Linked DNA regions of Oryzias latipes. The protein of the gene in region 1 interacts with the protein of each later gene in a pairwise test. Links are inferred from orthologs where the notes say so. Each region holds a gene or a part of one and is shown in the gene's direction. Other genes may lie near its edges.

Region 1 (4,051 bases):
ATACAAAAACTCTGACAGCCCTAATTGGATCTAGTCTCCCCTGTGTCATTTCACACTATATTACACACAATCCAGTAGTTACCAATACCTTTAAAATTATGTTTCAATTCAGACAGACGTATGGACTCACTCAAGTGCTTACCACTAGTCCTATACACAAAAATCACCTTTTTCTCCCTGGTCAGACAGACTTCGTATTCATGATTTGGGAAGTGATTAAGGTACAGTATAATCAACTTTAAGGACATGTACCTAAGCGGTATATTTGCAAGCTTCAATGATCTTGCTTCCAAATTTTGTCTGCCTCACTCTCACTTTTTTTAGTACCTTCCAGTGTGTCGCTTCCTTCAGCAGCATGACCCTAACTTCCCTAACATACTGTGTTAGATGAGGTGTTTGAGTTGCCACTCAATTCAAAAAGATTCATTTCCAAAATCAAAGACTGCAAAATTCCTGCTTCCATCTTTGTTGTTTGATTGTCGACTGGTTAATTCAAAACTTCCAAACTTATGTAATACGTTCTTTGTTTGTTGGAGAACTGTTTCCAACATTCTACAAAACTCATTCTATGTCCCAGCATTACACAAAAAAGTTTTTTAAAAACCCAATTTTTCCAAAATACAAAGAAACCCATTTTAAACAATGAATGCAGTATACCCATGCAAGGAACTGCTACATTTACGTTTTGGTTTTCAAGAAAATAACTGTTAATAAATATAAAATCACTTGATCATCTGTTTTTTGAATGTACATATGTTACCAGTTTTTGGGAGTATTGTGTTTGTTGGTGCTCCTCAAAGTTTCCTTTTCCTATTTCTATTCCGTTACAGTTGTGAGTACTTTCTGGTGATAATTTATTTGATTTGGCATTTGATACTTTATTAAATTCTGGGAAATTCTTCATCAATGAGAGCAGATTTTTTTAAAATCAAATCATTATTCAATACATTTCATAAAGAGATCTGTTTACATTTTAAATCCTTGGAATTCAAGAAAAACAGAAATGCAATAAAACTGTCAATTTTCATTGAAGATCACATGTTGTATGACCATACCTAGTGTGAGCTACAATTCTAATGTTATTTATTTATTTTTTCTTTGTATTGTATTCTTTTTTCTTTTTATATCTTTCTATTGTAGTTATGTGAATGTGTACGTGTCATCCTTTGAAGTTCAATAAGAATAAAATAAAATAAAAAGTTGGTGAAATCAACGCTACAGGAATGGGCTTTTAGTTTGAAAGGACGGATGTGACGTACTGTATTTTCGGTGAGGTTCTTTCCGGTTAGCTTACAGACATGAAGGGTCAGTTAAAGAAAGGTGTGGAAGTAATACCAAGCCGGGAAAACTGCGTTTATACCAGCTGTTATTGGTAAAAACCAAGTTTTAACAAATCAGAAAAGCAGCCCACTGTCCTGCAGTCTTTAGTTTTGTGTCAATAAATCATTTATTGTCAAGAAAAACATCAAAATGCTAAGCGGATCCGCTCGGCTAATCGATATTCACAGTTTACATTGTTAAATGTTATACCCATTTTTAAAACTGTTATAGTGAATGAGTTATTTCAATGCCATCTGTCTAATTAATGATTGAATGAATTTTCAGGGAAATATAGTTCATTTTAATCAAGTGAATGAGTGGCTAATGCTGCTTTCCTTTACTTTCTCAGTGAGGAAAATGTTTGGAAGCTCTGTGAGTTTATTCAAGCACAGAAAATGGTTCCACTGGACCAGTTTGCTGTAATTTTCATCTCTAACGACACCAGAACGGTAAGAAGATCTGGAAACATTTTAAACGGCTTAACAAGACAATCGAATAAACAAAATGTTTGCTTTAAAAATAATATTTCAAAAAGTACCTCATACTGAGAATGATGGGCACCGAGCCCTCAAGGGTTCAGGTGGTCTCAAGAAATATTTGAAAGTAAATAACAGGCCTTCTCTGTAAAAAGAAAAATCCTTTTTGCAAAACATCTGGTAGTTTCAAAATACAGCTACAGTGATCCCTCGCTATAACACGGTTTACTTTTCACGGTTTCGCTACTTCACGGATTTGCATCGTGCATTGTGTTCTGCATTCTGATTGGCTAAAAAGTCACTTCACTTCTCTACCTGTGCGTCAATAACATTGCAGTTTAATATGTACACGTACGTAAATCAGCGTGCCAAATTTACAACAGATACGTGCAAATCATCTTGCAATTTCGAGTTTCTCTATAACCCATGAAAAAAAGGAGCGACAACAACAACTGCCTATCACTATGTTCTTCTCCCGAACAAACACAGCTGCACCGCGGGCTTCAAAGGGAGACTGCAGAGCGGAGTCAGGATGCAGCGGCTCAAGAGCAGTGAATTACACCTGAGTCACTATTTGTCTGACCGTACTTTGTATTTTTTTAAAAATCATTTTAAATATCTTCCCGTTTAATCCAAATACTCGGGTCGCGGTGGGCGGGGCTAATCTCCGCGATTTGAAGCCTTCTGTTCACATTGATGATTAAAATTCTTATTTGACAGTACAATACAGAAGATATTTGTTGAAAAACCTTTTCTAAAGTACTTTTATTTGTGAAACAATTCCTTAGCCTGTAAAACGGTTTGTTCTTTCTTTTCAATGTATAATAGAGAATTTAATTGTATAATAATTGTTAAAAAAAAAGGTTTCTACTTCACGGATTTTGCCTATCACGGGTTCTTTTTGGAACGTAACCCCCGCGAAAAACAAGGGTTTACTGTACTCCATTAATTGTGTCCAAATTGGAGGGCTGTGTTCTTCCTGGGCTGCATCTGAAGGCTGCTTACGTAACATGTTGTCCAAATTCAACAAGTCCTTTAAATATGGCCACCGAATACAGCCTTCTTTTTACCCGATTTCAAGGATTGCTCTGGTGTACCCTTCTATGCTGTCCATATCCCAAGATGCATAGCAGTAGAACCCGGATATTTTCTGACAACAATGGCTCCATGCCTGGTTCACTCCTCCTCCCTGTTCGGGACTCACGGTTGCTAGGCAACAGGACATTCACTGATGTAATGGCTGGAATTATCTAAAGGCTAGACTCGTCCAAATTCACAGCCATTAACATCTGACCTACCCGCTCAACAAAGGACCCGAGTAACATCGCCAGGGAAGACTGCGGCCATTGAAGGACGCAGACTTCGAATTTGGGAGCACCCAATATATAACGCTCAAATGTTGTGAAAGCGTCTCACTAAAACGGTCAATCAAACCAAACAAAGAAGTTCATCAAACAAATAGGCAATCCCTAAAACTGGCCACTACACACAGTACATTACAAAAACCAAAGAAATCCCGGACAAGCCCCCAATTTATGTTACACCCCATTTTAGGAAAAAGAAATACTATTTAATAAAAAAACAACCAAATTACTGTATATTTGCAGTATAAAGCACACTTAAAACCCTTAATTTTTTTATTTAAAAAGCAACAGTTTGTCTTAAAATCATGATCACCCTATCTATTAATTAGTTATGCTGCAAACAAGGTTGGGTGTTATTGTGAATACCCTCACGCGGCTAATGTGTGGCGATGTTGGACTGTTTTTTTGGTTACCAAAAAGGTTGTGTGATAGCGTAGTCACGGTAACGTTTGTTTTAGCGCTATCAGTCTGTTTTGTCCACGTGCTGCAAGCAAAGTAACGTGACTGACTGACGGACATTTCTCTGACTCTTTAATCTCACTTAATCTGCCTTGTAGTTCGGTGTGCTCTATATGTGACATATGCTCAAAATAGACCATTCATTGATGTTGTGCTTGATAATCCGGTGAGCCCTGTAGTGTGGAAAATACTGTACAAAGAACAAAGCCTGTATGTATGTTCTGCCCTGGAGATCCTTGCCCAGTCTGGTGCTCTGGACAATTAGGCACAAATGTGCAATCAAAGCTGGCAGAGGAGAAGGAAGACAGAAAACCTCCCACTCCAGCAGAAAATATAAAAGAAAATAGAGAGAGAAAACCCAAATGTACAAAAAAGCCATCACACTGTCATTTATCCATAAATTTTCTAAATCTGCTTAATCTGTTTTGAGGT
Region 2 (4,154 bases), on another chromosome or scaffold:
GGATTTGCTCTGTACTAATCGTAAAACTTTTATAAATATTGATATTCAAGACCCATTCGCACTTTAATACCTTTTTGGAAGACCTAAAGTTCAGCCATGCACACACACATTCACAGAGTGGCACCAACCTGTAAGCAGCTGGAGCAACATGGGGTTCAGTGTCTTGCCCAAGGACCCCTCTATACATGGGCGGAACCGAACATGCGATCTTCCGATCAGACATAAACTGCTCTCTGCATCAAGTTTACCCCCATTTCATTTATATTTTGTTTCTTGTGTCTCGAGAGGACCTGGGTGCAGAAAATTCTCAAAAAAAAAAACTTTTTTACTGGAAACCCTAACAGTCACAGCTTTTCCTGTTTTAAGCTTTAATACAAGTTTCCTGTACCATTCTTTTAGGTTAAGGTCACAGTTGGGGTTACGATTAGGGTCAATTGTATAATTTCCACTTCCGGCCGATGATGTCAGACTCCATCTTGTCTGCAGCCATGTCCCTCTCTTGAGTTTTGTTTCTAAAACTTGTCTAATTTCAGAAATGAAATTTTTGTTTTGTTACCATTTTTTTTTCCTTTTTTAACTGTCATTGTGATCTTTAATATATGTTTTTGGGCTAAGTGATTTGCACTTCGGGGCCACCGCACATGAACAAGGAGATCAGGTGATAATTTAGCAGGAATAGACCAGACAGACTGGCTCCTGCTGGCGTTTCAGCGAGGGTTTGCACATACACATGCAGCTGAAGTTCTGACTTCTCCAAATGTTAGCACTTATAGGATGTGGACACCAGCGTAAGAAAATGTTTTCCTACTTCTACCAGCTCTGAATGATGTTGTGATGGAAGAGATCATTCCCTCAACACCCACATGACGCCCACCTAACCACCTGTCCTTTCTCACTTCCTCTTCTTTCTCTCTTGCAATTTTCCATAATGCCTGACAGATTTTACACCCAATCCACCTTTGCGATGACAAGGCTTTGAGGAAATCCAATTCCACCAAGCTGTTTTCAGAACTTTCTCTCCACAGGCACACACTTCCGCACACACACACACACTACCATCTCTACAAATTAGTCAGGGAACAAATTACCTGCATTCTGAGTGTGATCCCACGCACTTTGCCGGCTGCCTTACACAGGTCCCCTTTTGAAGAGCAGCCATGTGATTTCTCTCTCTTATGCCCTGCAGGCCCCTTTGCCTTCTGCGAGGGATTCTGGAGTTGAATTTTAAAACTATGTATGGCTGCTGCCTGTGCTTATCAGCGCGTGCACAAGTGGCATGCAAATCAAACCAGGATCACACACTGCATTGGAGGCCTACACTCAAAGGCAAGCTTAATTGCTAATTGGGTGTCTAGGTGTGAAACCAACACTGCCAATGAGAAGCAGAAATGTGGATGTTTTAAGGCCAGTGGTTGAACTAATTAATTTTAATCTGAATGTTATTAAAATTTGTGGATTCCCTGCATTTTCTTCTGAAAAATTATCCCGGAAGAGCACAGCGAAAGTAGTCTTAAGTGCAGTTGGACGTGTTGTGGTCTGTTTTTATACCCTCATGCATATACACAAGTCGCCGGAGGTGCTGCTTTTGTGTAATTCTACACAACTACTTTGAAAAAAATAAAATATTTTTAAACTTACTTCTTCTAGAAACCCACAAAAGTTACTGAAAGTGATCTATGTCTTGAGGTATACCTTTTTGTACTAAAAGACTAATTTTGGCCTAACCTGGGCAAAATGTGACACGTGGTGGTGACTGTTGTGTTCACCTGCTATGTCCGGAAATCAACAGCTGGGCCTAACCTAGTCTCACTGTCATGTACCAGCTTTGACCAATGGGGTCTGACATGGGTTGTGGCAAGTGTCAGAAGGGCTCGGTTTTGCCCAGAGGCTCAGAAAACTGCCAAAATTAGGACAAAGAAAATGTGGATATGGGTCACAAATTTGACAAAGATTATTTTGATGTCTGAAACACGTTTTTTTTAAGCATACACTTTATTTTTAAATCCCTTTCAACTGCAAAGCAGATTTCAAATTGTACTGGGGCAAAGGATATTGTAATTTCTGAGGAAGGTTGTGCTCCTGAAAGCATCAGGTGAGTAGGTTGGGAGTGAAATGGTGCGTTCATGTCCATGTAGTTGAGCATGTCAAACACAGTGATATCATTGTTTGAGCTTTGGGGTCTGTTTGTTTTTTAGAAATCTTGACTGAGAGTAGGGCTGAATTAAAAAAAAAAACGCTGCTGAACAATGGGAGCAGAAATTAGAGGAGGGGGTGACCGCGCCGTTCCAAGGGGCCAAAGGGCCAGCTGCGCAGGGTCCAGATGTGCGTCCGACTCCCACCATCTCATACTATACTGTAGGACAGGATCCGTTTTATTCCGAAAATGCGGCACACATACCTGCCACTGAAGCAGCGACAGCCCAGAAGAGCCGCAGGCGCTACAATGCTAATGTTGTCGGGGGCTTTGACTTCTCCCCGCCACTGCAAAGGAACTGCTCCGTGTGACAGCCACGGCGCCGGCGCTCTTCCTCCCGGTGCTCGCTCGCTGCTCCTCGCGCCTATTCGCGTCTATTTATCTCTCACGAAACAACCCCAGACCTCGTCCGATCTCTTATCAGCGTCTGAGCCGCGATGGAGGAAACGGATATCATGGACTTAACGCATCAGAAAGCGAAGAAGCGCCCGCGTCCGGTCAGTTCTGTGGACGAGTCCGTGCACGCGTCCCTCAAACGGCTGCCGATGCGGGCAGCGGAGTGCAGGGAGCCCGCGCTGATGTTTGCGGTCAGAGGAGAGCCTCTCCCCGCAGCATCCCTGAAGCAGAACGACCACTCGGTGAATTCCTCTCCTACCGCAGTCATGCCGGCTCAGGTAAGGAGCGCAAAGAACTTCCAAAGAAAGAAACATTATCCGCCTGCGTCATTTAACCCAAATGCGCACAGCCTTCTACAGCTTTTATTTTATTGTTAAACTCAATCATTTGTGTCGAATATGTGGTCGAAGCTCGTAGCTCTGTCAGGGGTTAGTTCTCTCCACGATCCCAGTCATGTAGGGGGCTAAAACTTTTGGGAATGCAGTAGTTTTCTTCCGAAAATTGTCTCCTAATGGTGTTTGTAGGTTAACATGATGTAGCTTACCCCCCCAAAAAAAATCCTATTAAGGTATTCAAATCAAGAGTCATTATTGCTCGTCTCCAAGAGAGATTGATGCCCCAAATTAATTTGGTTTCGGAGATCATGGCCCACAGGAGTAGATGCTTATGGATTGTGGCAACATCCAGGTCAAGGTCAGGCTGCTCCATCCTGCAGGAAATATAGTTTTTACTCTGGGCTTTCTTGGCAGATATAAATTTTTACATTTTCATTTGTTTTCTTTTGTTTTCATCTTTTTTTTTTAATTCACGGAAGAAGCAGCACAGTATCTTTCCTGTCTGTGAACCATACCTTTATGTCTTTAGGATAACCGCTCCAGCATGTCCAGGCCCATGATCACACGGTCACCAGTGTCCCCCTTGAGTAACCAGGGCATCCCTGCACCTGCACAGCTCACCAAGTCCAACGCCCCCGTGCACATTGATGTAGGCGGGCACATGTACACCAGCAGTCTGGCCACCTTGACAAAATTTCCAGAGTCGAGGTAAGTCCGTCTTTTCATTTTGTGGCTGAAGCGCTTGGCTGATGAGGATTTTCTCATAGTTTAATGTCAACCTCTTTAACATTTAATGTCATCAAGCAACAGTCAAATGTCACAACTCTTCACATCACATGTGATTAAGAAATTTTGATGTACTTTTTAGATAGTGTTGTCAGGTTGGTTTCTAATCATTCAGGTGTGTCACAAGACAATTCCCCATGAAATAAAAAGATCAGTTATTTTTAGGGGCCAAACTGTTTGTAGGAGCTGCAACCGCAGAATGCAGAGCGCGCAGACAAAAGCAACTTGGTTATTCTGACAGATGTCACAGCAGCAGTAAAGTGCCGAAGGGCATGGAGCCATCTGGAGGCTGGGAGGCTGCACTGTCGCTCCCAGCTCAGGCCTGGGGGTGATGGCAGCCTGCCTCAGGCAACGTGCACCAGCTGCCTTGACCTCTCCAGACCAACACTGCGTCTCATTCCTTTGTTTCTTTCTTTGAATCTGGAAGAATAAAAAGGAAAGTA
Region 3 (3,500 bases), on another chromosome or scaffold:
ATTAAAACTGCTTGCTTTGTGTGCGCCTGAGTGTGGATTCACTGTGAGTGGAATAGAGGCCCAGTGTTCTCAGGTCCCAGCTTTAAATAAGGAGTCTTTATCTGGCCGTGTGCGCAGGGCTGATGTGAAAGCACTAAAGGGTCGGCGTGTTTCCTCAGTTCAGACGTGGCCCATGCCGCTCGCTCCAGGTGTGGTGACCACTAACCAGCAAGGCTTTTAACTGTCACGCCTGATTTGGAGCCTGGGGCCAACTTGGCACGTGCACAAGTACACAGTGTCTGGTACACACGGTCATGCATGCGCACATCCATTTCTAATTTAAACTCAATCCCCCTCTCCCCTCTAGCCTTTTTAGTCCCCATCCTCTCTTTTTCATACTAGAAATAGGGATTCTGGGAGTTGGAGTATATTGTGTGAAGTATGGAAAGAATTTAAAAATGACATAAAAGGATCAAGTTAACCTATTTATAGTCTTTGCTGCTTCCTTCAGGCAAGGAGTCAAACTTTATAACTGGTAAAAAACAACGATTTCCCTCTTTTTAGGGTTGACATGATTTTACAGGCAAACTGTTGTGACTCTGCAGACATACACAATGAGGTATAAGGGTATAAGTGAGTAGTTTGACAATATGACAAGTACATTTTTTAATACACCATTGGACAGCATACTGAGAAAGTTAAAATTAGCTACCTAAAAAAAATGCAAGTCAAAATGACGAGGAGTTGGACAGGGAGACAAAGAGAAATGCGCTTTTTTCTAGGGAAGAGGAAATATTCTAAACTGTATTTCATTTGAAAAGAAAAAAATGTCCTTGAGTCATTTTCTTGAATAAAAATCCAGTAGTAGTTTGTTTACTGTTTAAAATGCATCTATCTTCAGATGGAATTAGGCTTATATTAAAATCTTTAAAAAAAAATGTGTTGACAAGTTTTAACAAGCAGAAAAGAAAAAAGAAAGATGGTAATCAATAACAGAAACAATTAAAAATTTCTGATTTAACGCTGTTTAGTTATTTGGCATGTAATTTCCTCTTGTAATTTTGGTGCCAAATTCACACAAAGTGATACATGAATACTGAAGACTTTGAACATGTATGACTACATTTATTGAGTGAAACTGTGATTTTTTTTTTTGACTTTTCCACACAATAAAATGTACTTAATTTTATATTCAGTTCAATTCTTACTTAAGACAAAGGTATTTTGCTCATCATTTCATGTTAGTTTCATCACTTCTCTTTCCTTAAGCTTCAAATTTTTACCAGAGTTAAACAATATTCAGAGATTTTGCTCTAAACTCCTATAATGACAACATTGTGTCTCCTTTTTTTGTGTCCGTTTCTCCCTCAGATCTCCTTTGATCTGGCAGAGTACACCGCCAATGTGGACGGTGTGGGCACACTGCGCCTCCTGGATGCCATTAAGACATGTGGTTTGACCAACAGCGTCAAATTCTACCAAGCCTCTACAAGCGAGCTGTACGGCAAAGTGCAGGAGATTCCCCAAAAAGAAACCACTCCCTTCTACCCGCGCTCACCTTATGGTAATACCAAGAGTGCTAAATGCATAGGCGATAAAACAAGGATCGCCTAACTTCAACTTTTCAGCATTTGTCAGGGACTTGCATTGATGCGTCTACAGCACTTTCTCCTTTGCTTTCATGAATGTGTGTGTCTACGTGTCCATGTGAGTAAGTGAAGGAGGTGCAGTGTGTGTGTGCGTTCTCCACACCCTGAGGCCAAACATCTGATTGAGAACTGGAGTGGCTCTCATTTTAACAAAGACACCTTTATATCCACGGCACTCAGCACTCACTTTTGACACAACGCGCGCATGCACACACACACACACGCAGACAGGCCGTGCACGTGTGTCCAAGCTCAGGTTTCATGTTCTCTCTTGTCTAAATGCTCTCCTCACTGACACTTTCCTCATCTGTCAGCACTCAATCTGATGCTGCATGGGCGTTTCGAACAGGACTGCTCCTCCATTAATTAGCCTTATGAGGGTGAAGGGGGGGGTGGTCACCATGGCAGCCTCCCTTCACCTCCAATGTACATCTTGACCTACAGCTTAATCAACAGCACCTCCCTTCATTTGCTTTGGTATTCCCCTCGTTACATAGAAAGATGGAGGAGGAGGATGGTGAAAGGGAAAGAGAGGAGAACTTTTTGCCCAGGCCTGCTTTTGGTCAATCAGCAGGAGTCTGTGGTTTATGCTCCTGACAGGGAAAGATGATCTGCAGAGAAGCTGTGCTCAACCCTGGCATGCAGCATAGTTAGAAGCCTTAATCTTTCTCTTCTTTGTGGACTGTTTTCTTCTCCCTCCTCAGATTAAAACTGTAAATTCAATCCTTTTTACTATGACTTTGTTTTCCAAGCTGCAACAATGGAGCTGAAATTAACTTTACTAAGTTTTGTTTCAGTATGCAGATCATCAGATCCATTTAAAGTAACTCAAAATGCCTTTATTATTATTATTATTATTAATAAGTAATATAAAACATTAGCCTTTTTTATGAACTTGATTGAAATACTTTTAACGATCTGCGGCATTGACTTTGTGTCTAAACCTTCCTGAGGTTGTGAAGTTGGGCTGCAAAGAGAAAGTTGTATAAAGGTGGTTTTAGGTGTAAAGCACGTCTTCTGTTCTTCTTTTCTCAGGAGCTGCTAAGCTTTATGCCTACTGGATTGTGGTGAACTTCCGAGAAGCTTACAACATGTTTGCTGTCAACGGGATCCTCTTTAACCATGAGAGCCCGCGGAGAGGTGAGTGTGAACCCTGACATAACCTCAGGAAATCATGAAATTCAGTTTGGTGTTCAGTAATAATAATCATTAAAAAATGTGTTCTGTAACATTCTGGTGAAATAACTGAACATTTTTTAAGCTGATATGATGCATCTCTTTGTAATGCTGGATATGTGTAAGGCTTTTACAAACGTTTTTATGAATGTTGGTCTTAAGAAGGATTCCTGTTGAAAGACAATTTAAATGAAATCCAGAGGCCACTTTAAATCCCCTGGAACATTGAATTCTATTACATTGGTCATTTATTATACTGCGGTTCACCTTTTACAGTCTCGCAGATTTTTTTGGTGCAATTTGGTAAAATTATTTTTATTTTTATTTATACAGCACACTGTGCTGATTGGCTCTACACCATTGTCAATCAATGTCCCTTCGTGGTCATTACAGTACAGAAGGCATTGTGCTTGCAAAGATGATCTTTGGTTTTATATTCTAACGCCTGACTTACTTTTCCACGAAGGTTTGAACTTAGAGTTTAAACAAGTGAGGAAAGTGGGAAAATGTTAATGTCTGAGAAAAATGAATTAAGTGTGTAGTGCTGGGTTTTACAGCCTTATAATAATTGTAAAAAAAAAGAAAAGTAACTCACTGATTTCGTCTGCTGTGGGTTATTTTTAGAACAGAACTCTTGTAATAAACGATGGACCACTGCACAAACAGCAGGGCAAAACAAGTTTTTTGTCACTGATC
Region 4 (4,026 bases), on another chromosome or scaffold:
TACCTTAAATATAACTTTATCCCCCCAGAAGTTTCATTTAGACGTCAGGCTGCACTGAGGTGGTGGTTAGTACTTTCCCCTCACGGCTAAGGCCCTGGTTTGAATCCCAGCTGGGTTTGTTCTGTGTGAAGTTTGTTGTTTTAGTCTAGTCATGAATGTGTGTGTGCGTTTTCTACTGGAACTCTGGTTTCCTCCCACATTCCAAAAACATGCTTCATAGGTTCATTGATATCTCTATATTGCGGCTAAGTGTGAACATTTGTGTGATCCTGCGATAGACTAGTCCAGGACGTATTCCGCCTTCGTCCAACAGGCTTCAGCAGCACTGTGATTCTGAATGGAATTCTGAAAATGAATTAACAATTTACACAGCTAATCTTAGCTGGTTAACAAATTTTGATTACTGTTTTGTTTATGTGGGCGATGGTTCCAAATCAGCATCTTCTTCAAAATCTTTCAATCATCTCCACCGTAAACCTTTATTTGTTGCAGCTTACATCCAACCTGGCAACCCAGGATTCAATTACCGGTATTGATGGATCCAACAGGGTGACAACATATCAGTAAATATGCAAACAAGATGCTTTTATGGTCTTTATTCTGAAAGAAAAATGTGTGTTTTTTTGGTAGCAGTGTGAGATTTCTTTTAATGAAATAATCAGTAAAATTGGTATGTTTCTCTGCAATATCATAAAGTATGTTTTGTACATGGTGGTACCTGACCTTTGACCTACAGTAGCTGGGATGGGCCCTGTGTGACCCTGGACTAAGATGATGAAAGATTTTTATTTTTAATGAAATATTAAGTTATATCTTTCTACTAAAAGTTTGATTATGTATTTTTCCTAATCAGAAGGACAGTTCAAATACCCCTGTTTTTTAAATAAACTTTATTATACAAAACGGAAGTACACTACAGATAACAATTTTACAAAGTGAACTTCAGATATGCCAGGGGAGCATACATATTACATGCATTTTACATAAAAACATTAAGGTTTCTACAACTTTCATATAAACATACAGCTTTCTGGTTAAGACTTTTGGAGATGTTACTGATATACATTTCAATTTGTTTGATTAACACGGGGGAAAAAATAGAAGATGAAGAAAATTTACATTTATGAATATAACATTTGCCAAAATCCCCCCCCCTGTTTTCTGAAGGCGAGGCGTCTCGAGCTTGACGCACGCCGGTCACGTGACCCGCCCCCACGCCCTGATCTAAACCAATCGCGCGCCGCGGCAGCAGCCGGCTTAAACTGCTCACGGAGCGGCTTCAGCGGCTCTCCACCATGGCCGGGTCCTTGCACAGCAGCGCGGCGGAGCGCGTCGGCTACATCACCCGCCTGCAGAGCTTCAGCGCCTGCCACCGCCTGCACAGGTGAGCCGCTGCGGTCGTTTTTCAAAATAAAAGCCGACACGGTTCAACAGGTAGAACTGTTGCTTAATGCTGAAGCTAAAACGTTAGCATCCTTCCCATGGGAATTGTAGTTTAGTGTTTCATGATGCCTTCACGGACTGTCGGTATTCCAGGGAATAAAAGCTCCAGATGTGCACAGGAGAAGAACTCACTCACAGTAAAGAAAAGAAATGTCATTTAAGACAAACCAACAAACACTGACCTAAAACTCTTAGTTGATATCCACCATCACCAGTTTAACTTCCATTTCAATGCAATTTGACAAAGCAATAAACTTATTGGCCAAATTTCTACTCCAAACTAAAACATGAGGCTAGTTGGGATCCACAAATGCCAAACTATTAAATGTGATTTTAACTAGTTTTGGGCATTACCTTGATAAAGATCCACTCTGATGAAGACCATTTTTTGTGTGTATTTTTAACAAGTTCTTGTGACATTTTTCTGATGATTGAGGACACGTGCAAAAAAAAAAATTAAGCTCAAAATTAAATTTCTAATCATTTTTTATTCAAATCAATGTGACTCAGGGGAGAAAGAGCATATTTGTGAGGTAGAAAAAACACTAGACAAGCCTTAAGCTTCCTGCTCTGCTCCATGCTGATGCATCCACCTGCAGACAAATAGATCCATGAACGGCTTTGTTTTCCTCATCTGAGCTAATTTCTGAATCAAAACTGTACAGCCGGATAGCTCTGAGGTTGCTCACCATTTTTTTGAGGTAGGTTGTGGTTGTAAGGGGCTGTAAGCTAGCGGGAGAGAGCGTAAACAGAGAGCTATCAGTTATGGGTGATGGGAAGGGGGGAGAGGTTGCCCCATGCCAACAGTCCTGCTCATAACTCAGAAGTGAAATTCTAAAAAAATTCTAATGAACTACTGCCGCTCTACAGAAACTATGTCCTACAAAACAAGACAATTTTTAATTTTTTTTTGCCTTAAAACCACATAATCATAATTACAAAATCACTAGGAAGGCCTTGAAATGGATCAAAAGATAAATGAAGTTGGGTTTTAATGTGCATACTGTGGTGATGCGTACTGCTGAAAGCCGTAATATACAGATTGTTCCTTAAAGCACCAGATTAGTTTTTGTTTATGTAATGTTCTTGGTTAAAGAACTTTGATTTAAATTGAATAAATCACAATCCAGGCCGGGAAAGTGTCACATTCACTGTTTTACTTCCACCATCTTGAATCTCACACCTATTCCACAAAATCCCGCGAGACTAGGTATCTTATCAAATCACAGTGACACCTAGTGGTCAGAATATTACATCCCCCTTAAACTAAAAAAAAAATAATAATAATGCACTGCATTATCATGTAAACTTTGATAAGACTTTGTTTACCTCAAAATAATAATAATAATAACTAAACTTAGCTGCTTGTCATCCATACTAGGTAACATGAAATAATGAGAACATTTTCCTTTACCTTTGACAAATATTTAAACATCTTACATATCAAAGATTTGTTTAGGTTTAACAACTCTTCCAGACTTAGTGACATACACAGGCGGTTGATCATTTGGCAAAGTGTCCTCTGTGCTTTGGGATTCAGCAGTTGTTGGCTGATTGATCTTCGGGTCCTTCACACTGAGGTCAGGCTGCTGTACTTCTTCTGCGATCTGGACTTCTTTGCTGTCAGAGTGTCTCTCTCTCAGATGACGCCTGTTTCGTCTTAACGTTTGTCCTTCAGCAGTTGTGATGTGATAACTTCTGTTTGTATTTGCTGGTTGGGTGACTGTTGCTGATTTCCAGGAACCATCTTCTTGCTGGTAAGAAATGGGTGTACCTGCAGATAGTGGGGTGAGAGGTTTAGCACATTTGTTAAAGAATGTCTGCTGACGCTGCTGGCAAACTTCTCTCTGAAAGCGCACACTTTCCTGACCGGTAACTTGTGGCTTCAGCTGCTCAGGTGTGTTGGGAAGTATAGAACGTAGTCTGCGGCTCATGTGTAGCTGTGCTGGTGAGTGAAGGTTGTCAACTGGGGTATTTCTGTATTCAAGTAAACTTAGATATGAGTCTTTTCCTTCTGCTCTTGCTTTGTCCAATATGCGTTTTGCAGTTTGGACTGTCTTTTCTGCAAGTCCGTTGCTCTGTGGATAGTGGGGGCTGGTCGTGGTGTGTGTGAATCCCCATGACTCTGCAAATTGACTAAATTCTTTTGATCTGTAGCATGGTCCATTGTCACTTATGACGATTTCTGGAATTCCGTGTCTTGCCATTGCTGCTTTGAGTTTGGCAATTACAGCTGCTGAGGTACAACTGTAAAGTCTTTCTAACTCAAAATACCTGCTTAAATAGTCAACTATGACAATGTAGTCTCTTGAGTTCCAACTAAACAAGTCAGTCCCTATCACTTGCCATGGTCTTTCAGGTATAGCATGTGACATTAAAGGTTCTCTGGGGTTTGAGCTGCGGCGCTCTTGGCATATGTGACATGTCATAACTGCTTCTTCGATTTGTTTACCCATTTGGGGCCAAAACAAAATGTCTCTTGCTCTGCTTTTGCTCTTTTCGATTCCCATGTGACTTGAATGGATACGATCAATCATGGCTTTTCTCAGTGCCTGTGGAATTATTATTTTCTCGCCTTTAAAT
Region 5 (4,146 bases), on another chromosome or scaffold:
GCTGCTGCTGCGGCGGGGGTCTGGGTGTGGGGGTGGCTGGGCGCTCCTCCTCCTTCTTTTCACATTCCACCCTCCATTTTAGAAGAACATAAACACTCACCTGAGCACAGGTGTTAGCTCACCTTTGCACTAATAGTTTGCATGATTGAATGAATGAAATATTTCACACTAGTTGGTTTTAAGGCATAAGTATGCGTTCGTGAACACTATCTGTTTTGTGTACATGTTGACATGTGAACATTTTTTGCAGCTAGCAGGTGTGTTGATAACATTTGAGTGTGTGTGTGGACAGGCCCCGCCCTTTTAGTACTACATTTGAGCCTTGCCGTAATGATAAACAACCAGTAAACTTGTCTGCTCTATGCTGCTTCATGGTCTTATCCCCCCCTCCCACTATCACCCCCCCCTCTCTAACGTCCCTCTCTCTTCTTCCCTCCTTTCCTTTTCCGTCTGGTCCAACACCAAAGATTTTCAAACATGGTTGAAATTAATAAAGTTTGGCCTCAATTACAAAAGGTTCAGTAACCTGGTTATTCAGTCATGCCTTTGGTTTGTCTGAAGATTCATAACCCCTGTTGTTAAAGTAAAATATGTCCAACACAAGAGGCCCTCAGCTCTCATCTGCCTGCCTAGCTGTTGGACAGGACAAGTTTAAAAAAACAAACACATTTCTTTGTTTATTTCGTTTTCCAGAATCACTTGACTCGATTCTTCTCCTGACTTGTGGAAATGTTGGTCAAATTTGAATCATCAAGGGAGGGAATTTAGGGGTGGGGGGTGGGTTATATAGTAAATAGAGTAAAACTTTTTCTTTTTACTCTCATGTTAAGCAGTGGGTGAGAAGGTCCTGGCTCAAATCCTGGCTGGGTTTCTTTTTGTGTGGATTTTGCACACGTGTGGGTTTTCTCCAGGCACTCTGGCTCCTTCCCACAGTCAAAAAGCATGCTTCATAGGTTGATGGATGATTCTCAGTTGTCCCTAAGTCTGCATGTGATTGTTTGGCCCTGTAACAGACTGGCGGTCGGTCTGGTGTGTACCCCACCTTCACCCAACAGTAGCTGGGATAGGCTCCAGCAACCTTATGACCCTGAATGGTGTTCAACGAGGTCTGAAGATGGATGGATGGCAATAAAGTCAGGCATGAAGTGGATAATCCCACTATGTCTTCAGATTTCAGAAATCTACAAGTTACTTTGAATGAAAATGTCTACTAAATGTAAAATAAATTCACAATATTAACTGTATGCATATTTGTTGTGTATTTTACAGTATGAAATACCAGAAAAATACATAGCAGTTATCCATTAATCACTCGGATTGTTCAGCAGCTGAAGTTTATTGAATATTATTTTTAGATGTTTTTGCACTATTTTTAATCAGGTTATAATAGATGTTGGCGCATACAAACTATCTTGTTTCTCAATGTAGTTGTTTAGATCTTTCATTTTAAGTTTTTGTTTGTTGGTTTCAGCCTCCCTGAATTCCTGTTGTCGCGTCTGTTTGTCAGGTCGCCTCTCGGCTTCCGTAGACGTCGCTCCAGTGTGTGGGGACAGACGAGCATCTCCGAGCCTCCGGTCGAGTTCGAGCTGGAAACTATGGAAGAGATCAACAACGTCGAAGTGGTTCCGTGCACACAGTCCGACTACCTGAAGCCGTTCCGGGTCCATTACAACCAGGTGAGCTGTCCGCGAGGTCACACATCTGCTGAAAGCTGGAAGCTAGCAACCCCCTCACACCCCCCTCCCTCGTCCATGGTGCTGTTAGCTTCCTGTCGTGGAGGCTGGGCTGACCTTAAACACGGACGTCCACAGCGGCGACCTGCGTGGCTCGCGCCATGCAGAGGAGAGCCGGCTGCTGACGGCGGGGTGGGCCTCGCGGCGGCTCAGCGGCGGCGCGTGCGTCTGTGGGAACTGTAGGGCGCGAAGCTAAGCTAGCAGAAGAGATGCTAGGATGTAGGTTCTTCTAGCCGCTTTGCTTCAGTTTGAAGACCTCTGTGGGACTCTGGCGCCCTTCGAGGGACAGAAAGGCTCTCCCCGGTTCAGGTCCAGAGCGTCAACAGCTGAAACCCGCCTGAAACATCAGCTTTACGGTTCACCTTCCCATCATTAGTGATGTGTTTGTTGACATTGATGTTCTGCTTTCAGCACAAGCTGCAAAAACACATGTAAACTTTACACTTAAAAGTGACTAAATTGGGTTTTTGGTACCATTTTTCTTGTAGTTATTATACATATTTAAAATACACTTACTAATATAAAATATATTTTAGATAAACGTTAGGAAATCATTTTTAAATAAGGCCATGCTTGTAAAGAACATGCTTTTGTGGAATGAGGGAAAATGTGGGTCACATGAAAAACGTCTGAAATCTGTTGGTGGTTTACTTTCAAAGTGGTCTTTTATTTATGACGATGCCATTTCGGCCAAAAACCTGTCATTTTCTAGGACATAGTTTCTGCAGAGCGGCAAGGGTTCATCAGAAAATCAGTTGTGGTTAGGACTGCTGGTGCGGAGTAAGCTTCACCTCATTTCCTATGATCCCTTTGATTACATGCTCCCCCACTAGCTTACAGCCCCTCACAGCTCCAACACAACATTAGTGGTTTAATAAAACTAATATCAGAGCTATCCAGCCATACAGTTTAGATCCAGATTCCAGCTCAGACGAGGAAAACAAAAACGTTCAGGGATCTATTGGTCTGACAGTGGATGATCAGAATGGAGCAGAGCAGGAAGCTTGTAGATCACTGACCGTAATCACTGCTACAAGCTTTTTCAAACTGCTTTTTTCCCGTCTGCTCCTAATTCACAGAATGAGGAAATACTCGGAAATGCAATTTTTTAAATACATGTCCTACATCATCAGAAAAATGTTAAAAGGAAATGATCAAAACTCCAAAAACACCATTTTTCATCATAGTGGGTCTTTAAAGGTGACGAAACACTCAGACTTTTTACCATTTCAAGATTTATTACTAAGGTTTGTCTTTGAAAAACAAAAATACCAAAAAATCTAGCTAATTCCAACTTTTCTTTTAAATTCATTTTGGTCAGCCATAATAATAAAACCAAAAAGGAATCTTTGAGACACAATTTAGTCCCAAACTAAAGAAAGACACAGAGAACAAATACATTTAAATGCATATTAAAGATGCACACACAAACTTCCCAAACAGTCAGGAATATCTGTCATCTTTTAGTTTGGTAAAACCACTTTAGCCCATTTTGATTAATTTATTTGATGCATACATCCACAGGACGACTTTTAGCTGCAGCTCCATCATTTATTTAAAATGTGTCTCCTGCGTCTCACCATGGAAACCAAATCAGCTATGGGGATTTTTAAATGTATAAATGTAGAAATAAACACTTTAGTGATGAAATGCATTAATAACATTATCACTAAAACAATACAGCGTAATTTAAATATAGCTTTTTGACTCTTACCAGTGTTTATTTGTCATGTAAAGACGTTAATTTAACTGCCATAGCTAAATGATCCTGCATATTTTAGTTTTATTTAGTTATTGGATTTAAAGCTGTTCTGCATTTGTAGTAATATTTATTTTTACTCTAAAGACACACTCCAAAGAAAATTGTGTTTTTAACATGTCCTTGTAGCATTTTCAGTTATAAACACATTTGAAGGACCTATATAATGCAAAATCAACTCTTTCTCAGCTTTTGAGTGTGTTCTTATGTTAGTTCCTCACTATAAGCAACACCAAAGCGGTATTTTGATCCGCATTTCTGAGTTTCCTCTAAAATCCTGCGATCTGAGCACCAGCCCTATGGTGTCAATTCAGCGCCTAATGCAGGGGTGGGCAAACCTTTTGACTCGTGGGCCACAAAGGGTTCTAAAATTTGATAGAAGGGCCGGACCAGGAATGGATGCGTGGCGGGATTTGGCAATCCACCTCCCCAGAGAAAGAAATATTATGGAATCTGAACAAAAACGTTTCATCTCTGATTGAAAATTCATTCATTTTCTTAACCGTTTTTCCCTTTCGGGGTCACGGGGCTGCCGGAGCCTATCCCGTCCACTTGTGGGCGAAGGCAGGGGACAACCTGGACAGTTCGCCAGTCTGTCGCAGGGTAGAATGTCCACAAACACACACCCATTCACTCTCACACTCACACCTAGGG
Region 6 (3,500 bases), on another chromosome or scaffold:
ATCCAGGAACACCAACACTGGCGCTAAACAAAAGTCCGTTTTCCTGAAACGTTTGCAGCGACCTTCATCACGCTCTGCTCATCGGTGCTTTTACCCTGTTTGTGTTCCAGAGCTCGACGCCGGCTTCCAGGGGGGGTTTGCTGGATACCCGGCTGACCAGGACGGCATGGACGACATGGGCATGGGCATGGGCGTGGAAATCATGAATGGCATGATGCCCGACGAATACCAACCAGGCTACTACGAGGGACAATACCCAGATCAATATTAATGGTCAGAGCTGTTCCACTTGTTTTGGGGGGGTTATTAACAGTCACTGACTTTTGGAAACGTTCAGACGGGTTTGTTCTTGCAGAACATTGTGGTTCCAGATCTTCAGGTTCTTCGTTTGAGCTGTAATACTTTACAGATGATTCTGATTTGCTGATTATGGTAATCCCTTACTAAGCTACTCCCACCACTGCACAACCCCTGAGTTCCTCGTTGTCATGCCTACAGAACAGTAGCTTAGAGCATCCGTGACGGTCTGTTTGGTTTATACCGGGCAGGTCTGTCAAACGTTTTCCTCTTCTTATCAGTGGAAACCAAAACCAGCCGTGAGCCTCACAGATGGACGTCCACAGGAAGTGTGGTTGATGGATCGACTCTCTAAGAGGAACATGAAGGTTCAACAAAGATGGATATTTAGGTTTCACCTCGGTTATGTTTTTTCTACCAAGTGTTTTCTCAACTGGCAATGTCAGAATTTGAAGCCCCAGAGGAATCATTGTCCAGAGTTATTAAAACCCTCCACAAAAAAAAAAGTCCAGAGATCAAAGTCTTCCTGAACTCTGATCCGCTCGCTGTCTCTCGTCTGTAGGTTTGGGTTGGAGGGTCTCCTCACCCTGATCCTTAGCTTCTCCACAGAATCCTGATCATGTTGTGATGAGGTTCTTGGCTGAAAAAAACAACAACCCTAAAGCAGGATGTTCCCACCACCATGTTTGACTGTCGGGGTGGAGGACTTCCCCTTTATTTGTCCCGTAATAAAGGAGCATCCTGAGCGTCTCTCTTCTGGTGAATCTAAATCTTGAAGGTGGTTTTGGTAAAGCTCCGCCCACTTCAGAGGACCCGAACAGTTGTTTTATGGATTCTTTAGAACAGAAAAAGTTTCCTGGGTTTGAGGTCTGAGGCTCTAAAAAAAAAAAAAAAAGCCTCTGTGGCAGAAGGGGTCGCCATGGCGACGGGTGAATGCAGTCGCAGCTGTGAAAGCCTGTTGCTGCTGATGGAGCGCTTTCTCTTGACCTGAGCGCTCACAGCAGTCAGTAAATTAAAACGATCCGACCAACGGGGGGGGGGGGGTTCTAACGTTCTATAAAACTTTACATTCCCTGATTTGTTTCATCAGCAGCGACTCTGAGCAGAAGATCCGCTTCAGTCTTTCACATCTGCACAAAAAAGGGGGGGGGCTGGAGGGCCCCACCAACAAATCTCATTGTACTGCTTTGCCCCTCTTTGTGTTCCTATGGTAACAGCCCTGTGCTCACAGGCTCCTCGTCCACGTTTGTAACATACAAACATGCTCAGAAGGCCCAAAGTGCTTCTTCCCACACGGATGCTGAACACTGGCGCCAAGCTATGTCCACCAGGAGACAGGAGGGCTTCAGCGTCTTGTTTTCAAGGACACTTCCACACACGGGTGCACGGGGAAGTAACCAGACCTGCGATCTTCTAATCAGAGGTCGACCGCTCTACCTCTGCACCACAGCTGTTTATTGGCTTTGAGATTCATAAAAAGACGAATTTTTAATCCTGAACCTGAAGGACAGAGAAAGGTTAAGGACACTCGGAGGCTGTGTCCTTTTCTGCAGCTCTTTTCCAAAAGATGGTGGAAAAACCCTAGAGCCGACAAATTCATTTCAAGATGGGCTTAAAAAAACAAACAAATGAGCTGAAAAACATTTTAAAAGTGCTCAAAAAGTGTGATCGATTCACAGTCACTGCTGGTTTTTTGCCGTCGTTCTTCACCTCAAAGCTTTTCCTCTGAACATCAACCATCCTGAAAACTCAAAAAGTCTAAATGCAAGAAAGAAAAGCTTCACAGCATGCAGGAGGAAGAGGAGCAGAACATTCTTCACTCCGTGGTGGACGGTAATCCCACTGCCGTCCTCTAGGGGGAGCACTGCTCCGTTTCCTTCTGTTACGTAACGGGGCTCTCTGGCTGTTGAACCTGATGCGAGTTGACGAGCCGTTGCTGCACAGCTCTCTTTTTTTCAGCGGCAGCACTTTGTGATCCAAGATAAAGCGACCAACCACCCCCCACCCCCCCAGAACCCAAGAAACCAAAGCGTTTCTCCCAACAAAGGAGGACAGAGCAGCAGGTGGAGTCCTGGAGTCTGATGAGTGAGTCCAGCTCACAGCTGAGGACGTCTGGAAGGGCAAAATAACTCGAGCCAGATTATTTCAATAATCCAGCTTCAGGGGTGCAGAAATGTGACCAACAGATTAAATAAAAGGGTACTGAACAGAAAAAAAATGAGGCTGTGGAAAGAAAAAGTCGGACTCCACCCGCATCCTTGTTTCCATGGAGACGTGAGGCATCCAGGAAGAAGAAGCCAACTAACAAGTGTTTTTGTGTCGTTTCAGAGGATGGAGGAGGAGCTGAGACCAGGAGGAGAACAGGAAGGAGTGGAGTGTTCCCTGTGCCCCCCCACATGATGTAAAATATGCAATTATTACAGAATATGGGACTCATAATCTTAACAGGGCTGAACTTGTGTTTTATAGACTAATTTTACTGATTCTAGTTCAGGCGCTGAGGCTTCAGCTGTGTGTGTGTTTCTGCTTCTGGGTGGGTGTTCGACGCCAAAGAGATTTTATTTTGTTATGATAATCATGTAGCTTCCTTTTTTATGAGAAACAAAAAAATAACAGTTAAAAACTCTGCATGCTCCACGCCGCCGCCATTCGCGTGGCTCTGGGGGGCGTGGCCACTGCTTCAGAAGAAGGGCAGCCGATGGATGCGTGAACTCATGAGACGTTAGTCTGGAGCGAACTACTGACAGGGAACTTAGTCTTTGTACTTCAGAGTTTTTACTGAAAATCTGTTTATAAAATAAAGATTATATCAAACTGCTTTGGTGTCTCTTTGATTCTTGACTTTGCGTCATTTCAAATACATTTTTATTCCTTATAACCTACAAAGACTAAACTTGTTTTAGATCCTTCTTCACCTCAAGCTGCAGAAAACGTTGGAAAGGATCTCGAGCTTCTCTTCATTCCAGCTCTGGATCCTGCAATGTCTCCAATCCTCCATCACAGTCCTCGTGCCCAGGAAGACGCATTTCCACCTTAAGTGACTACCGACCAGTGGCGCTCACACCAGTAGTGGAAAAATGTATTTAAAATAACTTGGAGTCTTATCACATCACTCCTGACCCAAAGCTTTGACCTGTCAGTTCGCTTTGAGAGGAAACGGATCCACAGTGGACGCCGTAGCCACAGCCCTTCATGCTGCTCTA
Region 7 (4,168 bases), on another chromosome or scaffold:
AATTTAAGAACTTCCTGAACTGAAAAACACTTTCAGGAGCAAAAGCACAGGCATTGAAATAAAAGTGGTTTTTGTTCGCTTGACAAATGTACAACACAATGCGACACACACACTTTTAAATACCAAAACAAATGTGTGTATTCCTATCACACGAAAAAATAATACTTTTTAATCAACCAATTTGTTTTATTTTGTCCAATTAGCTAAATTGATTGAAGCTGTGCATGGAAACCAGTGAGTTTGGAAGGAGAAACCTCTGCTGTGTTAACATACTCAAAGGAATCGGACATTCCATTGAGAACCATAACTTATGGCGAGTTTCTATGAACCCCGCCTGTGGAACGGTTTCCCAGAGAGCCTCAGGACCACACAGACTGCTCATGTGTTTAGAGGATGACTCGAGTTTTAATCTGGCTTTTAACGGGAATTTAGCAATACAATTATTTTATGTTTAATTTATTTGGTGAATCCTTTTGTTGTTTTGTTACTTATTTGAATGGATCTTTTTTAAATTCTTTTGCAATTTTATCAACTTTAGAGATTTAGCAAATTTTGCCAATTAAGGTTTATTTATTTATGTTTACACCTGTAAGTATTTTATTCCTTTTCATTTTTTTTTTGTTTTTTCATGTGAAGCTCCTTTGTGCTACATGAGTATGAAACGTGCTTTTATAAACAAAGTTAGATTTGATTTGATCCAATATTATAACATCTCTGCAGGGGGATTCAGGAGGCCCACTTGTCTGCAACGGTAAATTTGAAGGCATTGTCTCTTGGGGCATCGGCTGTGGCTATGCGTCCTACCCTGGTGTTTACACCAAGGTCAGAAACTACCTCATCTGGATTGACCAGGTCATCCAGAGCAGCCCATAACTCCTCAAACCACAAGAAAGTACTGAATAAAATTTCAACTGTCCCAAAAGGTTTTTTTCTTTCACTTTGTATTCCTGAACTTACTAGATAATTTATCTTCAATCTTCAAAACTTGTCTTAAATCTGCAAAAGTATCTTATTTTAGATTCTAAAAATCCTCATATTTCTTTTAAAGGTCCTTTAAAATGATCAATAAACTAGATTATATAGATGTTTGAAACTTTAAAAAGTTTCACCTCCTGATGTTTTTCTGTCTGCTACCTACATTTTTCTTTAATCCTGAAAATAAAGAGACATATTTTGTCAGACTAAACCTTCGGATTTTGCATCTTTTGATCCATCCTGACGCAAAGAAGTCATTCCATTTAGGGTCAAACCTGCTTCAAACTACAGGAAAAAAACGTTCTCATCCTGCAGCACAGCTAACGGCCTGACAAATGATTGGCTGAGATCAGGCGTCGTGCCTCTGCCCAAATCACATTTAAAGCTGAACTGCATGACAATCATTCACCCACTCAGTGCAGAGGTATCACACACAGCCTCAAAGCCAACCTCACAAACATCAAGCATGGAGGAGGTCAAGTCTGGACAGAAGATCACAAAGATCCAGGATGAAGGCTCCAGAGACCTGTCCCCAGAAACAGTTCAAAGACTGATTTTTCAGTCTCAGGAGGCGAAGAAGAAAGCGTACTGTCCTTACAGCCAGTTCAGAGTGGGAGCTGCTCTCCTCACCATCGACAACCGTGTCTTCACAGGTGAGTCGCACCTCATCCTCTCTGATTCAGTCATTTCATGTCCTGTGATGCCAAACAAAACCTAAACCAGATTAAACTGATGATCAAAGAATCATCCGGCTTTCACGGCTGCTTGGTGACCCTCAGCAAAAAGTATATACATGTACTACAAGTTTGCTTAGTCTATACTACGGTGAGGTACTTGAAGCTTACATTTTTATGTACTATTGTACATTTTAAACAATACCAATTTAGTCTGAAGTACACATACATGGTATACTTCATAAAATAAACTTCAAGTGTAGTACTTTTTGCAACATTTTCAGCTCTGTGTAAGAAGAAGCAAATAATAGCGACTCAAATCTTTTTGGGAAAAACTTAGGAGAAGAAAAAAAATAAAACTTCAATCTGACATTGAAGTTGTCACACAATGTTAATGATTAGCTGACAGGGGAAATGACTGGACTCCAGAGTGAAGGTTCACATTTCTAATTGGTCATTACAACACCACATGGCGCAATTTTCAGATTCCAAATTTGAATTTTTTGGATTCAAGTTCTTCATGAAAATCTGTTTCAATTGCAACTTTTGTCCGAGCGAAAGTTTTCTCCTTTTGTGTCAAAATCCCTGCACACATGAAAAGGCTTGACAAAACCTTGAAAGGCTGCTGGAGGTCCAAAGGCTCACTGACTATTTGATTAAGCTATAGAAAAAAAAAATCAATAGGCAGCCTCTTTACAGAGAAAAGGACCCCTTTTTCTTTGGGACATATGCATTTGGTCACTCTGTTTTGTCCCGTGTCTCTGACAGGCTGCAATGTGGAGAATGCATGCTACAACCTGGGAATGTGCGCTGAGCGAAATGCCATGGCAAAGGCGGTGTCAGAAGGACACAGGAACTTCAAGGCGATTGCAGTCGCCAGGTGAAAAAATGAAACCGCCATTTTTGAAAATTCACTCCATCAGACACCAGCATCTTTCGCCCACTTTACAAACTTCTTTGTGTTTCTTTTTGCACTTCAGCACACCTTAACAAATTATCTTAGCGATGTGACCATTTCTGTTGAAGCAAATGCTCGTATAGTAATAAAAAGTCAAAGCATGATTTCTCTACAAAAACATCTCTTTTTACACTTCATATAAAACAAAACTAAGTGTAGGATGGAATAGCTTGTGTTATATCTTGTTGCGTCATTTGATCTTGAAAACATTTTATTTTAAGCAAAAATACTGATTTAAAATATGTTGTTTATGTTTTTGTGATGATGAATGGTCTAGGAATGAAGGGTTTAAAGACACTGGACGGTTTTATTTGACTTATAGCGTGGAACAAATGCATTTAGCAACAACAGGACAAAATTTTTAAATGAAACAATTACAAAATTATAATTTGTCGACACATTTATCTTAAAATGTGTAATTATACTCTTGAAATGATTGCAGTTTAGAAATAAGAATAGCTGTGGTGTTGTAGTGCAGGCAAAAGTGAATAAATGTACCTATGATAACAATTTAAACTATTTTTTGATCAAAAGATGGCTATTTTAAGACATATTACCAACTACCAGAGCAGTATACCTGAATATGAGTGTTTATAGGTGATTTCAAGATTTCACTTACTCTTAAAGGGGTGTAATATATTACTAATTATTTTAAAAAAAAATCTCACAAAGACAAATTCTTTTAGTTCCATTGGCAGATTTCTTCACTTATAACAAGGAAAAACATCTTGAATTCTATATTTTTGACTTGCTTTGAGGACATTTTTTATGAAGTTGCTTCGCTTTCGTGTTTCCTGCTGCAGTGACGTGAGGGATCACTTCGTTTTCCCATGTGGAGGCTGCAGACAGTTCATGAGAGAGGTACTGTTGGGTCATATTGCTTCATTCTGAAGGCTCTGTACCTTCAACACGTCCAAAAGATCCAAACATTCTTTAAAAAAAAAAAATGCAAACATTTGCTTCAGCTTGACAAACACATTGAAGCATCTGAACAAGAAGATATTCCTGAGTCACATTTACTTGTGTTTTTTTCCAGTTTGGGACGGACTGGGATGTTTACCTCTCCCACCCTGACGGATCTCACAGAAAGATGACTGTGGAGGAGCTGCTGCCCTTTTCTTTTGGCCCTGAAGACTTGTCCAAGAAGAAAATACCTCACACTCCCAATGAGTACTAAATGGTTTCCAAAAAACCTGCGTTCAAAAAGTCAATATTTACCAACAGTTTTAAACGTTGCAGCAAATTTTCATTCATGTTTAAATTAATAACAGAAATTTGTGTCTTTCCACGACCGTTCCGTGTATGTCTACCAGACTTTTCACGCATGTACAACATTTATATGGCGTGTACGGCATTTATCACGTTAAAATTATGTAATTGACGCACAAATTACTAATGAATTTCATGTAAACAGAACAATAATTACGCACAGTTCATGTTTTACGTTGATTTATCTGTTCTCTGCGTGGTTCATTTCCTGCAAACTGTCTTTCCTGTTTAAATTATTTCCAGAATATATTTAATGAAAATGTTATTAAAGCTTCCACTTTAAATGCATGAG

The links.
Region 2: the proteins of wdyhv1 (region 1) and kctd1 interact in binary tests that used the Homo sapiens proteins (3 or more experiments, as listed by UniProt). The two-hybrid records come from large-scale screens. The link is inferred for Oryzias latipes from reciprocal best matches to the Homo sapiens genes NTAQ1 and KCTD1.
Region 3: the proteins of wdyhv1 (region 1) and gmds interact in binary tests that used the Homo sapiens proteins (3 or more experiments, as listed by UniProt). The two-hybrid records come from large-scale screens. The link is inferred for Oryzias latipes from reciprocal best matches to the Homo sapiens genes NTAQ1 and GMDS.
Region 4: the proteins of wdyhv1 (region 1) and pts interact in binary tests that used the Homo sapiens proteins (3 or more experiments, as listed by UniProt). The two-hybrid records come from large-scale screens. The link is inferred for Oryzias latipes from reciprocal best matches to the Homo sapiens genes NTAQ1 and PTS.
Region 5: the proteins of wdyhv1 (region 1) and nudt14 interact in binary tests that used the Homo sapiens proteins (3 or more experiments, as listed by UniProt). The two-hybrid records come from large-scale screens. The link is inferred for Oryzias latipes from reciprocal best matches to the Homo sapiens genes NTAQ1 and NUDT14.
Region 6: the proteins of wdyhv1 (region 1) and junction plakoglobin interact in binary tests that used the Homo sapiens proteins (3 or more experiments, as listed by UniProt). The two-hybrid records come from large-scale screens. The link is inferred for Oryzias latipes from reciprocal best matches to the Homo sapiens genes NTAQ1 and JUP.
Region 7: the proteins of wdyhv1 (region 1) and cda interact in binary tests that used the Homo sapiens proteins (3 or more experiments, as listed by UniProt). The two-hybrid records come from large-scale screens. The link is inferred for Oryzias latipes from reciprocal best matches to the Homo sapiens genes NTAQ1 and CDA.

What each region holds. Positions count from the first base shown.
Region 1 is NC_019869.2:4,812,114-4,816,164, reverse strand, and holds the start of wdyhv1 (protein N-terminal glutamine amidohydrolase), read left to right. Parts: upstream 1-1,251; 5' UTR 1,252-1,298; coding exon 1,299-1,372; intron 1,373-1,669; coding exon 1,670-1,769; intron 1,770-4,051. UniProt on the Homo sapiens protein: Mediates the side-chain deamidation of N-terminal glutamine residues to glutamate, an important step in N-end rule pathway of protein degradation.
Region 2 is NC_019875.2:25,800,525-25,804,678, reverse strand, and holds the start of kctd1 (BTB/POZ domain-containing protein KCTD1), read left to right. Parts: upstream 1-1,354; 5' UTR 1,355-2,631; coding exon 2,632-2,868; intron 2,869-3,454; coding exon 3,455-3,633; intron 3,634-4,154. UniProt on the Homo sapiens protein: May repress the transcriptional activity of AP-2 family members, including TFAP2A, TFAP2B and TFAP2C to various extent.
Region 3 is NC_019862.2:20,928,782-20,932,281, forward strand, and holds part of gmds (GDP-mannose 4,6 dehydratase), read left to right. Parts: intron 1-1,350; coding exon 1,351-1,543; intron 1,544-2,663; coding exon 2,664-2,768; intron 2,769-3,500. UniProt on the Homo sapiens protein: Catalyzes the conversion of GDP-D-mannose to GDP-4-dehydro-6-deoxy-D-mannose.
Region 4 is NC_019877.2:21,061,572-21,065,597, reverse strand, and holds the start of pts (6-pyruvoyl tetrahydrobiopterin synthase), read left to right. Parts: upstream 1-1,226; 5' UTR 1,227-1,295; coding exon 1,296-1,384; intron 1,385-4,026. UniProt on the Homo sapiens protein: Involved in the biosynthesis of tetrahydrobiopterin, an essential cofactor of aromatic amino acid hydroxylases. Catalyzes the transformation of 7,8-dihydroneopterin triphosphate into 6-pyruvoyl tetrahydropterin.
Region 5 is NC_019882.2:19,388,650-19,392,795, reverse strand, and holds the start of nudt14 (uridine diphosphate glucose pyrophosphatase), read left to right. Parts: upstream 1-1,346; 5' UTR 1,347-1,595; coding exon 1,596-1,676; intron 1,677-4,146. UniProt on the Homo sapiens protein: Hydrolyzes UDP-glucose to glucose 1-phosphate and UMP and ADP-ribose to ribose 5-phosphate and AMP. The physiological substrate is probably UDP-glucose. Poor activity on other substrates such as ADP-glucose, CDP-glucose, GDP-glucose and GDP-mannose.
Region 6 is NC_019859.2:29,185,492-29,188,991, reverse strand, and holds the end of junction plakoglobin, read left to right. Parts: intron 1-110; coding exon 111-271; 3' UTR 272-273; intron 274-2,625; 3' UTR 2,626-3,115; downstream 3,116-3,500. UniProt on the Homo sapiens protein: Common junctional plaque protein. The membrane-associated plaques are architectural elements in an important strategic position to influence the arrangement and function of both the cytoskeleton and the cells within the tissue.
Region 7 is NC_019863.2:29,307,602-29,311,769, reverse strand, and holds the start of cda (cytidine deaminase), read left to right. Parts: upstream 1-1,368; 5' UTR 1,369-1,369; coding exon 1,370-1,628; intron 1,629-2,417; coding exon 2,418-2,529; intron 2,530-3,410; coding exon 3,411-3,468; intron 3,469-3,643; coding exon 3,644-3,784; 3' UTR 3,785-4,168. Other genes in the region: trypsin-like, read left to right, coding at 721-873. UniProt on the Homo sapiens protein: This enzyme scavenges exogenous and endogenous cytidine and 2'-deoxycytidine for UMP synthesis.